4 linked regions of the Rattus norvegicus genome follow. The protein of the gene in region 1 interacts with the protein of each later gene in a biochemical or structural test. Links are inferred from orthologs where the notes say so. Each region holds a gene or a part of one and is shown on either strand. Other genes may lie near its edges. The genes, in order: Ube2e3, Uba1, Rnf14 and Rnf25.

Region 1 (2,697 bases):
AAGTTACCTGTCATTTCACTTTAAATAGAATTTTGAAGTAAAAGTTGAATCTGAGGTTAAATGTTTATGTATGTACATATGGCACAGAAAGTGTGCCAAACAAAGCCAATACAGACACAGTAAAAGGTTTCCCTTCTGGACGCCAAAAATTCAGGATCCAAGCCCTGGCACACAACTGTTAACCCTGGTTTTCAGATAATGTATGTATGTCTTATATTTACAACTTAACATTACTACAGTGTGTATACATCCTTACAGATCCCCGTATCTTGACATACTATTGACAACTGTCTCCCTGTGAGTTCTGAGTTGTCTCATTCTTTAATACCTAGTCTCTTAGTGGACACTGCTTATTTCTGAGGCTGATCTTCCTAATGATAAAATTTATGTCTTGACCAACATTAAACAAACATTTTATTTGTAGATTCATAAAGATTTGCTTACCAGGGTTGCAATCTGTCAAAAGGGAACAAATAGAGAGCAAAACCTTTGAAATAGTCAAAGCGGGACTCCAGTTGTCTTTCAGAATATCCAGGCAGATGACTCCCTGACTGTTGATGTTGCAGTGGTAGATTCTGGTGCGGAAGGTAACCTACACAGCACAGCACAAACAGGAAGCAAACAAGTCTATCACCAGTTCATCCCAACAGCAACACATTACAGATGATACCAACAGCAAATTACTAACCAGCACTATTCTTACATTGGATCAGACAACAGCTAGTTTTCTTTAAGACTATTTTTAAAATATTTTAAAAGTTAAATAGTTTTATTTTAGTTAAAAGTATTGATTTTTGGTTTTATTTTGACTTAGAAAACTATTTTTAGCTCATTTATTTTTGTTATTGTAATTTTGTTTTTGACACAGGTCTCTAGGTATGTAGGTCTGGCTGGCATGAACTTGCTGTGCACACTGCCTTGGTTTCAAACTTACGGCAATCCTCCTGCCTCTGTTTTCTGAGTACTGGGACTATTGGCATGCACTACATACGATACCAGGTATTACCATGGCTTAAGAAAAAAGTGAATAGGTGAATAATGAATACCTAAAGAATGGTATTATGCATTTACACATGTACCATATACCATATACATATTTGTGGACATACATGAACATGGAAAGTGGAGAATATTTTGGCATCAAAGGTAAGAAGAAAGTATGAATGATTCTAGTAAAAGTAAGGAGTATCACCAACTCAGCCAAGCCTCTTTCTACATCAGAATAAAATGAAAGACTGGGAACAAGGCTGCAGTCACCATCCGTGCTACCTTCCTTCCTCTTAGTCACTCTCCTACAGACACTGACATAGAAAAGCAAAGTTTTCAGTTATGGGTCAAAGAAACTGGCATCTCTTTTTCAGGAATAAATACTTGTATGTTTCTAAGCAAATGCAAAAAGTAGTTGAGAAATAAATTCATCACTTGGACTTGTTGAAAAAAAGAATTTTCTGATCTTAGAATTTGCAATGTACTGTGAGCTTCAAAGAAGAATCTGGGAACAGGAAAAAATATCCAAAAGTGCTTTTTTGGGGGGTGGGGGCAAAAGAAAAGCAGGAAAAAAGGAGGAACACATTAACGAACTACCTAACATGGCTTAAAAGGGGCTACAGAGCAGTCATATGTGAATACAGAGATCTGAAATATACCATGTTTCAAAGACTCAGTACTAAAAAAGCCATAAAAGAACTTAATAATATTCTTATGAATATTACTTCCAGCATGTTGAAATGGTAATACTCTAGATATATAGGGTTAAATATACATTTAAAATTAATTCAGTTGCTTATTTATTCAATGTGGCTATGGAAACTTAAAATTATACATGTACTTTGTGCTTCCAATAGACAAGGTTGTTCAAGAAAAATGGAATACTTGTTTGTCCAAATGACTGAGCTGACTACATCAAAGACAGGAATTAATTTCAAATAAAACCAATATACTGAAATCTCCTAGTTATCAATAGTAAATAAACAAATTAATATCCAATAACAAAATGTTTGTTTCTCTTTAGGAAGTTCAACAGCTTAAGTGAACTCAAACACTATAGACCAGGCAGAAGTGGCACACAGATCTCTGTGAGTTCGAGGCCAGCCTGGTCTTTTCCAGGACAGCCAGAGCTACACAGAAAAACTCTTGTCTCAAAAAACAAAAACATATATTTGAGAGAAGGAGAGGAGAAAGTGAAAGAAATAAGTCTTATTACCAAAATATCACAAATTTTATTTATATTTTATTTTGGAATAGGGTTTAAGAATGGAAAAATCTGCCTTAACAAGGAGAGAAGCAACATTACAAAGTTATAAATGTAACACACTGGAACTTCTAAATAAACTTCTAAATCTATAAATAGCCACATACTAATAAAAATGGCACGCCATATACAGGATTATAGTTCAAAGCCCTTCTACTAAACAATTTCCACTTCCACTAATAGTGCTAAGGAAATGTAAGTATCTTTTAAATTACATTATTTCTTCCTCACATACAAGAATTATATCATACAACTATATCTTGTTAACTTTTCCCCTATTTTCTAAAGTATTAAAACCAATTTCCAATATGAAAAACTATGCATGTGGAATTTTTACTATTTATAAAAATAGATATGAGGTTTACTAAACATTTATTATACAGAAAACAACAAAAGAATAAAACTTGAGCAGTTGGTAATAAGCTGACATTTATCATTCTAAATGA
Region 2 (4,667 bases), on another chromosome or scaffold:
TACAAGCCCACTCTCTTACCATAAATAGAAAGTGAAAGCTTGGAGAACTCTCACTTCCCCTGGCTCATGTCATTTGTCCAGTTTGTATGGCTCTCCTAGATGAGTAGTGTCAGAATTTGGCTTTGGGTCCAGCTCAGACTGCTCAGAGATGGGAGGTAAAGGAAGGGAGAAGAGGGGAAGTAGGAGGCTGCCTAGGGTTGAAGTCTGCTGGTGAAGTTGCTGGAAATGCTTAGATCTAACTTGGGTAGGAAGAGAATTGATAAACTGGGATGGAGACAGAGGTAATTCCTATTTTGCATTTACTGGCAGTGACTTGGCATGCAGATCTTATTTCCTCTAAGCCCATTTTCTCCAAAAAAATGGAGAGATAAGGAACTGTCCTCCTGATGAAGCTAAAGAGGCTATCTGTGGTCAAAATTCAAGGACCTGAGGAGAGAGGCTCCTCCCAAGGCACCCACAAGGGCCTCCATTACTTAGTTATCTCCTTTCCCTTGTCATTGGGTGGTTTGTTCCAGGCATATTCTTTCTCTACTCCCCACATCAGACAAAATCCAGAGCAGAGAGCTCTTTATCAGACCTTAACCTTTCCACCCCCACCCAGTGCTGGCAGCAAGGCTCTAAGTAAGCAGGTTTGGGATCACTGTTCAAAAGTAGACTTCAAAGCCAGGTGTGGCAGTACAAGCCCACAACCACAACACTTAGGAGGCAGAGCCAGGAAGACTCTTAAGTCTGAGGCCAGTCTGAATTATGCAGTGAGACTCTATTTCAAAAAAGAATATAGGAAGGGAGATTTCAAATGTCAGGTTTTGGAAAGCCCCTTTATCAAGGCAAGCAGAAGAATTTGGGACAGAGATTCTGGGACAAGAGCTAGAGATTCCCCTACTCCCATCCAAAAATAAAACCAAAAAGCAAAATACAAAAAAACCCCAACAATAAAAAACAAAATAAAACCAATCTCCATTCATTCTCTCTCAACATGTGCTCAGCCTTCTTTGTTAGAATTTATTTTCTAAAACCTACTTGGCAAAGCTGAAATTAAAGCATTTCAAACTTATCTGGGGTCTCCAAACTGATGACTGAAGCCTGAGAATATTCTAGAGCAAGACTGAGCAGGGGAATCTGGGTAGGCTTAGGAAGCAGAGCCAGCTGACAGATATTGTACAGGGGAAGATGCTGAGGCTTGTCAAGCTTCCTGAGAGATTTTAAATGAGAAGTCTTGAGGAGTGTAAGAAAGGCATCAGAGGAAGTGACTGAGCTCAAAGAGCTGTGAAGGAGATAATAAAAGACGCCTTATAAATGGTGGGGGTGTTGGACAGAGGTATTAAAGACTCAAACCTGGATTTCTAGAAAGAGGTGAGAGAATGTAGACCCTGAGACTACTACAGGAAGATTCTGGGGCTGACAGGCTTAGATTCTAGTGACAGAAACCCTTCAACCAAAAGTAGTGGGAATGCACAGAAAAATGACTTTGATGTTGACACTGTAGTGACAAGAAGCTACGAGATTAAGTGCTAAGAGGCTAAGAGAGGTCTCTGAGGGCAGACTCTTGGAGAGGGATTTCTAATGGAGCAACAAAGGCCTTGTGTGGATCTAAACAGGTACCACAGCTGCTGATAGGGTGAAGGGAAGATGAATTTCAGACAGTTCAAGCCTTAAAAAGGTTACAAAGAGCTAATCATGGTGGTATACACCTTTGAGTCCAGCACTAGTGAGGCAGACAGAGGCAGTGAAACTCTGTAATAATGATGATAATAGGTTACCAAGCAAATATTGGCTAGATCTCCAAATAGAGTTAGGTTTCTCTAATCAATTCTGTGACTCCATAGTAAATAGATACTGAGGTTTTCTACTCCTGTGGAAGATAAATGGGCCTGCTGGGGAGAAGGGGAGTGAAGTCAAAAGCAAATGCTAAGAGTCTCTGAATACTAGGAACCTTTAAAAAGAATGAGGGTAGATTCTGAGGCCTGTTGGTAGATTAAGGGATTTATAAAAAGAGAAACTAGAATGCTGGTCTGCCTTTGAAGGCAAAATTTGGGTCTAGGATGAGACCATCTGGCAGATGGGGCTACAAATAAAGAGTCTGAAAGAGTAGATGGTGGCAAGAGATCACTAATGGAGAACTATGTCCAAACAGGTCCTCCCCCGTGTCTAGTCCCCTGAGAGAAGAAAGGAAATATACTGGAGGTTAAGAATGGCTGATGGAGAAGACGATGCTTTGAGAACAATGAGAGCATGAAAAAGGGGGGAGTCCCTAAAAGCAGGGAGAGTCTCTAAAGGTAGATGCTGAAAAGAGTCTAAGAATGCCAGGCGTCCATGTTGGAGGATGCTATGTCAAAGTGGTATTCGGATATCTCAAATGTAGGAATGGGTTTCCCGCGGAAAGGCCAGGCACAGAGCTTTTCACCGGGTTTAATCCAGATGGCAGCTCTAAGGACAGATAGTATCCTGAGAGGGGGAGGGGGAAACTCTGGATGAAAATGCTAGGCAAGGCTCTTCTTTCGGAGATGAAGGCCACACGGACCTTTCCTGAAGTCTGGCCCCTCTTAAGCCATGAGGGCAAATACTGAAGGGCTAGGAAGAGTCTCAAGGGAGATTTCGGGGCAGGTCTTCAAATAGCACACAAGTATGGACGGCTTTCCTGAGCAGCGACGCCGAATTCCGGTGCCTTTATGGGAGACTGTGCTCGGAGTTCTGATAGGAAATGCATGGCTCAGGATTGGATCAAGATATCTTGTTATAGTGCTACACCCGAAGCCTCCAGAAGCAGAGATAAGGGTATGATGTCAAGGTCAGATTTCGGAGCCCAAGGGAATAGGGTGGTCCTAGACAAAAATGATCCATCCCGCCCCAGGATTTGCACACCCCCACACCCACTTGTCTAGTGATTCCTAATACCCAGGTCACCGCAGTGCACTCAGACATCGGGCTGGCAAAGAACCAGCAGGGACCCTCCCATACCTCCCTGAGCCCTTGCGCTTCGAGCCAGGTGCAGAGAAAAGCTATTACCAATGCCGGTTCCCCGGGTCGTGCCGCCGCCAACTCCTCAAGGAGCCGAAGTCAAGCTCGGCCGCCACCCTCCTCTTTCTCCTTCTCCTCCCTGCCGCCTGGGCCAGCTAGGATCACTGTCGCCTTCTCCTCCCCCGACCGCGGTGGTTGTGGTCTTCCTTGACACCCTCCTTCACCCCAGCAGCCGACACAAGATGGCGGCGGCAGAGCCCAAGGCCGGAACAAAACCCTGAGCCCCACCCCCAGAAACCCGGATGCAAGAGGACCGCGCCCACTCATGAATCATGTATTTTCCCTGCCCAGGTTGGGACTTCTTTAACTAGAAGGAAAACAGCTCCACCAAGTGGCTGTGGAGGCAGTAACTAGAAAAACAGGTAGAGCATGAGGCCATGCCCCATGAAATAGGAATAAAGAATTACTACAGCTAAGCTGTCAAAGAAATCAAGGAAGGACCTCAAAGCCATTCTTCCTAATCGTGAATTATGAAGCAAGGTGATGGGTTTACTAAGACTAGGCAACCAGAAAGAAGATGTTAAAGCATGCCAACCACACCCAATGCTCATGAATAATGAATGATCTTGCAGCTGCGGGAATCAAGGAGACCAAAGCTACATCTTATTCATGAATAATGCACGAGACTCAGTGGGATAGAACAAAAGAAGCAAGCCTGCCTTATTGCTCCATCTAATACCCAGTAAGCAAGAAACAGGGTCACTGCAGGAAAAAAAAGCACTCCTCTGCCTCCTAAATACTAAAGGAAGCTGCTGGAGCCAGCTCAATGTGAAAACAGAGAGGTCAAGAAAGGTTATACCTACTGGGTGTGGTGGTATACACCTTTAATCCCAGCAGTCAGGGCAGAAGCAGGAGGATCTCTGAGTTTGGGGCCTGTCTGGTCTACAGAGGGAGTTCCAGGACAACCAGAGCTACCCAGTCTCGAGGTGGTGGAGGTGGGTGGGGACACAAAAAGAAAGGTAGTGCACAGGCTGTGCTTACATGCATGGTGCCACAGGACTTTTCTCTCAGCACTGGGAAAGTGGAGGCAGAAGGCTCATTAGTTTGAGGTTAACAGGAAACCCTGTCTCAAAAAAAAAAAAGTACCAATCCCATCCAGTTCATGAATTATTCATGAGGCTTGATGGGCAGCTTCCCATCCAAGGTGGCCCTACCCAACAAGCGGAAATTATGAGACAATAGTCAAGGCATTTGTCATAAGGATATAAAGGATAACCCTGCAAAGCCAGAGTGAGCACAGTCCTTGACCACTTGGGGGCTTATCTTGTCTTAGCTAAATACAGACTCACTACATGCCTTTGAAGGCAATGATAGTAATGAAACTAATCCACCTCGGTTGGAGGTGTAGACTACGGATAAAGCACTTCAACACCCTCGGTTCAATCCATAGTATCATAAAAAACAAACAAACAAAAAAACCACAGCAATCCCCACCTCAAAAAAACCCAACCAAGACTGATGAAATGTGTTATGAGAATGAATACAGAAGGGCCCTAGAGCAGTGCTGCCACAAGGCCCTGTTACAATGTTCAAATATATGCAACTAAAGGTAATATTTGCATTAATCTAAAATTACTTAAGTTTGAGGGTATATCCAGCTATTACAGAACTTATCAACTTGATTGTTTCCAGATCAGAAAATGAGATTT
Region 3 (3,711 bases), on another chromosome or scaffold:
ATCAAACTTCCATCCAGATGTGGCTTCCAGTGTCAGCAAAGAGAAGACAGAGAAGAAAGCTAATGATGTCATGGAGACAAAACTCTAGAAATGTCACCTAACACTACAAGCTGGCTTAGAGTTTTTAAAGAGTCAGTTTTTCCTTGACAAGTAAGTAGTCCAAACATTATATTAAGAAAAACAGGGACTGGAGAGACGGCCCAGTGGTTAAGAGCACTGACTGCTCTTCCAGAGGTCCTGAGTTCAAATCCCAGAAACCACATGGTGGCTCACAACCATCTGTAATGGGATCTGATGCCCTCTTCTGGTGTGTCTGAAGACAGCTACAGTGTACTCCTATACATAAAGTAAAGAAATGATTTAAAAAAAGAAAAAAGAGAAAAAAGAAAAAGAAAAACAACCAGACTGAAGCTGACTAGATCCTGGCTCCTTAACTGACGGTAATAGATATTCTGAATGCTAAGAGGAAGGTGTGTTGTTTTTAAGATTAGTATGTGCTGTGCAGTTGGAGGTGCACATGTAGAGGTCAGAGGATATTTAAACTACCTTCATATTGGTTCTAGGGCTCTAACTCAGGTCATCAGATCATGAGCAGCAAGTGCCTTTACCTGCTGAGCCATCTTGCTATCCCGATGAATGGAAGTCTTAAATATGTTTTGATATATATCAAAACAAGATAGTATATATCACACTTAGTTATTTATTTTGAGAAAAGGTCTCTCTGGTTGGGGATTTAGCTCAGTGGTAGAGCGCTTGCCTAGCAAGCGGAAGGCCCTGGGTTCGGTCCCCAGCTCCGAAAAAAAAAAAAAAAAAAGAAAAAAGAAAAAAGAAAAGAGAAAAGGTCTCTCTATGACGCACTGGCTGTCCTGGAACTCACTATGTAGACCAGGCCAGCTTCAAACTCAGAGATCCTCCTCCTGTTTCTGCCTCCTGAAAGTTACAATTAAAGGTGGGCACCACCATGCCTGGCCACCATTCACTTTTAAAGTACTATCATTGCATAGAAACATTCTGGTTTTGGGGAGCTGGGTGTGGGAAGGGGATTAAACTCAAAGCTCCTACACATGCTAAGCATTGAACTACACCCTCAGTCTTACAGGCATTTTCTAAATTTAGGATATATAATGAAGTAACAGAGTGGAAGCATTGCCATAATTCACCCTCAAGCAGTTTAGCAATGCCTCTCTGAGACAGTAGAGAGAGTAAGTCAGTGTACTGTTCACTGTTTACTCACACCAGTCACAGCTATAGTCTCTCAACCTTTCTACACGCTAGAAAACTTTTACCATAAAAGGAGAACTAAGCTCAGTGTGGAGTAAAGGCAGGCAGATCTCTGAGTTCGAGGCTAGCCTGGACTACGGAATAAGTTTCAGGACACATGAGGCTACACTGAGAAACCTTGTCTTGAAAAACAAGCAAACAAAAAACAAACAAACAAAAAAAGGAGTACTGAGACTTCCAAGCCAGGGCGAGCCCCAGGGCCCATCAGACAGAGGTGCCTGCCCTGAGTTAGATTCCCAGGGGAAGGTGGCAGAAGCAGGTAACAAGTACTGAAAGCTGTCCTGACCTCACACGTGCACCAACACCAACACGCCAACACCCAAACCCTCCCACACAAATAATTTAAAACAGTTTTAAAATCCTAGACCAGCCTATATCACATATGCTTTGTCATTAAAAATGACGGGTAGGTGTAGGGGTGGAGAGATGGTACAACTGTTAAGAGCACAGCTACTCTTCCAGAAGTCCTGGGTTTGATTCCTAGCACTACGTAAATAGTGGCTTCACAACTATCTTTAACTTCAGTACCAAGGGACACAACATGCTTTTCCATACTCTGTGAGCACCAGGCATACATGTAATATAAGACGCACATGCAAGCAAAACACCCATAAACATATCCCCTCCACCCTCCCAGGCAAGGTTCCTCTTTACAGCCTGGCTGTCTTGGAACTCACTCTATAGACCCGGTTAGCCTTGAATTCAGCAATCTGCCTGCTTTGGCCTTTCCAAGTACTGGGATTAAAGGAGTGTCCACTACTGCCCAGCTAAGTATAATTTTTTTTAAGGTGAGGATAAAAAGTAAAAAATAAAATTTTACCCATTTTCAAGAAGACTTAAAAATCACATGTGGGAAAAAAGTTCTCCAAGTCTAGCTACTTTAGAAAAAAAAAAAAAAAAACTGGTATTCAGAAAATAAACCAGCCTGCATACTGGCATCAAAACATTCCGGATGGGCTAGGAAGATGGTTCAGTGGTCAAGAATGCTGTTCATTCATGAGGACAGGAGTTCGGATCCCAGTTCTCATGTGACAAAACAGGCATCCTGCAAACAATCTGTACTTCTAGCTTCAACTCTGACAGAAACCCTCTTGGGTCTCTGCCTATCCAGGGTACACCTGTGCATATACATGTCCTCATGCAGGCACACCTGAGTTTTTTTACCTGCTAAGTCTTAAGGAACCCTATGTGTACAAACCTGTTAAAGCATGGAGAATCAGGATCAGTGAAATGTTTGTAAGGGTTTGCTCTTGAGAGAGAGCCCATGCAAACCCAGCAGAAATACTGCATACAGCCAGTACAGGTCATCTTGTTGCAGCCGTCTAATTTCTGGTGGGAAGGAGAGACAAGAACAGTATCATGGTGGTAAAAGCAGAATACATGTGCCGGAAAACACACAGTGCACTTCCCCTGGTTTTTTGTCCTTTCTCAAGGAGGACTGCTGCACAGGCAACAGTGACAGCCACTTACGCTTACAACTTTGCATTGCAGGTAAAATACAGAAATATCGAGCAGGTCTTCCTATAACTACATACTTGGCAAAATCTCTCTTGTAAATAGACACAAGTGACACATAGGAGAGGAACACATAAGCAGATTAATTAAAACGTTACTTTATTTTCAGCACCAGAGATAGACACATGCCAGGCAAGCATTCTACCATAAGCTATATCCCTTTCCTTTTCTACTATTCACTTTTAAGACTGGGTCTAAGTTGTTCACTGGCAATCCTCTTGCTTCAGCTTCCCAAATGGCTGGGACTACAGGCTGGGCCTGAGTTCTAAATTTCTACACCAATCAAAACTAGTGGCATAAGCAGAGGCATATTTTATACTACCACGGGGCTCAAGCATGTCAGAAGTGACAAACATGACACAGCTCTCCTTAATGACGCTCTAAGGAATTACGAATTACCATCAGTTTCAGTAAAAACAATGTACACGATGAGAAAAATAAAACCAAATGGAAGGCCATGTTTTACAGATTTTAAAATCTCATGAATCTATGTTGGCCTTGAACTTGCTACACAGCTACAGGTGACTTTAAACCTCTGATTTTCCTGCCCCCACCTCCCAAATCAAGGACTCTTGGTATCCATTCTACAAAGAGTGAAGGGGACTATTTGACTTTTGTCATGTATGTCTAGTTTGTTGTACTGGAGACCAAACCCAGGGCTTCCTGACCTCCAGGCCAGCACTCTACCAACTGAGGTGTGTCCCCAGCCCCAGATCAGACTGTTTTACAAATACCAATTGGGGCTGGAGAGATGGCTCCTTGAATAAGAGCACTCCCTGCTCTTCCAGGGGACCCAGGTTTAATTCTCACCACCCACATGGGGGCTCACAACCATTTGTAACTCCAGTTCCAGAAAATCCAAAGTTGCCTTCTGGCCTCTGCAGGAACCAGGCATGCACAGGGTACTCAGACAAA
Region 4 (2,611 bases), on another chromosome or scaffold:
ATTCCCAGCAACCACATGGTGGCTCACAGCCATCTGGAATGGGATCTGATGCCCTCTTCTGGTGTGTCTGAAGACAGTGATGGCATACTCCTATACATAAAATAAATAATTCTTTAAAAAAAAAATCCTGGGGCTGAGGATTTAGCTCAGTGGTAGAGCGCTTACCTAGGAAGCACAAGGCCCTGGGTTCGGTCCCCAGCTCCGAAAAAAAAGAACCAAAAAAAAAAAAAAAAAAAAAAAAAAAATCCTAAGACCAACCTAACACCACAGTGAGACTTTCCCCTTAAAACAACAGAAGTACTTGGGATGGAGCTCAGCTGGTAGAATGCTTGCCTGGTGTGCACAAACTGGCCATGATGGCAATGGCCTGGAATCCTACCACTCAGGAGATAGAGACAGAAAGATCTGGAGTTCTTCAACTATATAAAGCTTGAGGCTAGTCTGGGCTACATGGTACCTTATCTCAAAACCACCAGCCAGTCAGCTGAACAATGCATGTGTGCAAATGTGGGAATGGATGGAATTATTTGCTGTGTTACTTCTTAAGTATTCTGCACAAATGTCTTTTCAAACCTGACCACACTGGCAGGGAAGACCCTTTTACCCTAGTGTCTCTGGTGGACAGCCTTACAAGAAAGGTGGGAGCCCCTATCATAAAGAGTCATACCACATAAGCTAGCTGCTGTTAAGCAAAGGTCAAATCTCTTTATTGCCTCCCTCCCACCCCAGTTCCCTGTCCCCCAACAGTACTGCTAGGAACCTTCCTCAGATTCCAAGCCCAGGGGCTCCCTGCGAGTACCAGACCGGTATGCTCCCTGGCCCCGAGGTAGATGGGGATAGGAAGAACCAGGTGTACGGTTTTTGGAGCGTTCCCAGCGAGCACAGTCCCGAGTCCTGCGAGCTGAGGGGCCCTGCCAGCTACCAGGTCCCTTCTCCTGAGGATGACCTGTGAGGCCTTTGTTACGGGGTTCTGCCTTTAAGTCCACAGTCTCCTTGAGAGGCTTCTCAGGAGGTGGCAGTTCTTGGATTTCACTGGTACCTTTTGGGGCGCAGCACTCCCCGCCTTTTGGGTGCCTCCGATCATACTGTCGCCAGGAGCCACGACCAGGTCGTGGAGGATCTAGCATGGATTTCTGGGTCTCACCCAGCCTCTGTTGATTTGGCCCAGCCCCCGAAGTCTTCTCATAAACATACTGGGTAGCCATGGGTAAAGGAGTTGGCAGAGTTGATTGGGCAGCTAGGGAAGTAGATTGTTCTGCAGAAAGGGTATTAGGTGGTTGGGGTCCTCTTGAGACATCTACTACTGACTCAGGTTCAAGAGCAGCAGGAGGCTGGAGAGAAGAGAGGCAGAGGTGATGCATCAAGGGGGACCCCTCTCCACTATCAGCAACCATCATCAACCACAACCTTGCTAGCAGAAGAAAGCACACCCTAGGGCCATGGCATTCCTAAGAACTCTGGAGACATCTGAGGCCAAGGGGGAGCCTTTCCTCACCTGCTGAAGGCTAATGAAGTATCGGTTCCGTTCAGCCTCCAGGTCAATGATGCCACCCTTTTCCTGTTGCCTCTGATACAGCCGTTTGAGTTCTTCCTGTTGGCGCAAGCTCTCTGCACTGGGTTGGTATAACTCCTTACAGGAAAGGAAGCAAAAGGGCAGGAGGAAAAGAAACAAAATGAGAAAGCAGACAGATGACTTGAACCCTAACTCTTCTAGGATTGTCCTAGGGAGCTGCACAAGGTTCCTGTTTTTTTTTTTTTTTTAAAGATTTATTCATTTATTATATATAAGTACACTGTAGCTGTCTTCAGACACACCAGAAGAGGGCATCAGATCTCTTTACAGATGGTTGTGAGCCACCATGTGGTTGCTGGGAATTGAACCCAGGACCTCTGGAAGAGCAGTCAGGTGCTCTTAACCGCTGAGCCATCTCTCCAGCCCAGGTTCCTGGTTTTTTGTTTTGTTTTAGACAAGAGGTTCATATAGCTCAGAATGGTCTCAAACTCACTGTATGGCCAAGCATGACCTTGAACTGTTTATCCGTCCTGAGTGCCATGATTGTGAGTACACCACCATATACCAGGTTTTTTAGTGCACTGCTGGGGATCAAACCTAAGGCTTTCTGTGTGCTAGGTAAGTGCACTTCCAAATGAGCCATATTCCCAATACTCAGTTCTTGGTTTTGTTCCTCAGAGTTGGGCTTCTGAAGCCTTAGACTCCTGGTGGGGGCTGTGGCTTTGCAGAGTACTCTTAAGCAAGTCAAACCCAACTCCACAGAGAATTCAGCAGAGACAAGATGCCACTTCTCTCTCCTTAGAGAATGCCTGGCTTAGAGCAGAAGGAAAACCCTTACCATGGGTTGTTGGGGTTCAGGGGCTGCTTTCAGCGAGGCAAGATCATACACAAGGGGCTCCCTGCACACAGGACACTGCACACCGACTGCCTTCTAAAACAAGAGGAGAAATCACATCCTGCTCCCTGTCAGCCAGCCCGAGGGCTGGGACCAAAGGGCATAAGCGTTAGCTGCTTAGCAATGAGGTAGAACAGAGGAGAAAAGGGCTGCCTAGGGAGAGGTCTGGAAATGCAAGGCTTCATGCAATGTGTCAGTCCACA

The links.
Region 2: of the proteins of Ube2e3 (region 1) and Uba1, one has a biochemical effect on the other in vitro, tested with the Homo sapiens proteins (3 studies listed by BioGRID, with this or other methods). The link is inferred for Rattus norvegicus from reciprocal best matches to the Homo sapiens genes UBE2E3 and UBA1.
Region 3: the proteins of Ube2e3 (region 1) and Rnf14 form a complex in vitro, tested with the Homo sapiens proteins (2 studies listed by BioGRID). The link is inferred for Rattus norvegicus from reciprocal best matches to the Homo sapiens genes UBE2E3 and RNF14.
Region 4: the proteins of Ube2e3 (region 1) and Rnf25 form a complex in vitro, tested with the Homo sapiens proteins (2 studies listed by BioGRID, with this or other methods). The link is inferred for Rattus norvegicus from reciprocal best matches to the Homo sapiens genes UBE2E3 and RNF25.

What each region holds. Positions count from the first base shown.
Region 1 is NC_086021.1:84,246,034-84,248,730, reverse strand, and holds part of Ube2e3 (ubiquitin-conjugating enzyme E2 E3), read right to left. Parts: intron 593-2,697; coding exon 445-592; intron 1-444. UniProt on the Homo sapiens protein: Accepts ubiquitin from the E1 complex and catalyzes its covalent attachment to other proteins. In vitro catalyzes 'Lys-11'- and 'Lys-48'-, as well as 'Lys-63'-linked polyubiquitination.
Region 2 is NC_086039.1:4,077,509-4,082,175, forward strand, and holds the start of Uba1 (ubiquitin-like modifier-activating enzyme 1), read right to left. Parts: upstream 3,182-4,667; 5' UTR 3,007-3,181; intron 1-3,006. UniProt on the Homo sapiens protein: Catalyzes the first step in ubiquitin conjugation to mark cellular proteins for degradation through the ubiquitin-proteasome system.
Region 3 is NC_086036.1:30,400,585-30,404,295, reverse strand, and holds part of Rnf14 (E3 ubiquitin-protein ligase RNF14), read right to left. Parts: intron 2,611-3,711; coding exon 2,480-2,610; intron 1-2,479. UniProt on the Homo sapiens protein: E3 ubiquitin-protein ligase that plays a key role in the RNF14-RNF25 translation quality control pathway, a pathway that takes place when a ribosome has stalled during translation, and which promotes ubiquitination and degradation of translation factors on stalled ribosomes.
Region 4 is NC_086027.1:83,618,472-83,621,082, forward strand, and holds the end of Rnf25 (E3 ubiquitin-protein ligase RNF25), read right to left. Parts: intron 2,445-2,611; coding exon 2,352-2,444; intron 1,631-2,351; coding exon 1,496-1,630; intron 1,332-1,495; coding exon 753-1,331; 3' UTR 677-752; downstream 1-676. UniProt on the Homo sapiens protein: E3 ubiquitin-protein ligase that plays a key role in the RNF14-RNF25 translation quality control pathway, a pathway that takes place when a ribosome has stalled during translation, and which promotes ubiquitination and degradation of translation factors on stalled ribosomes.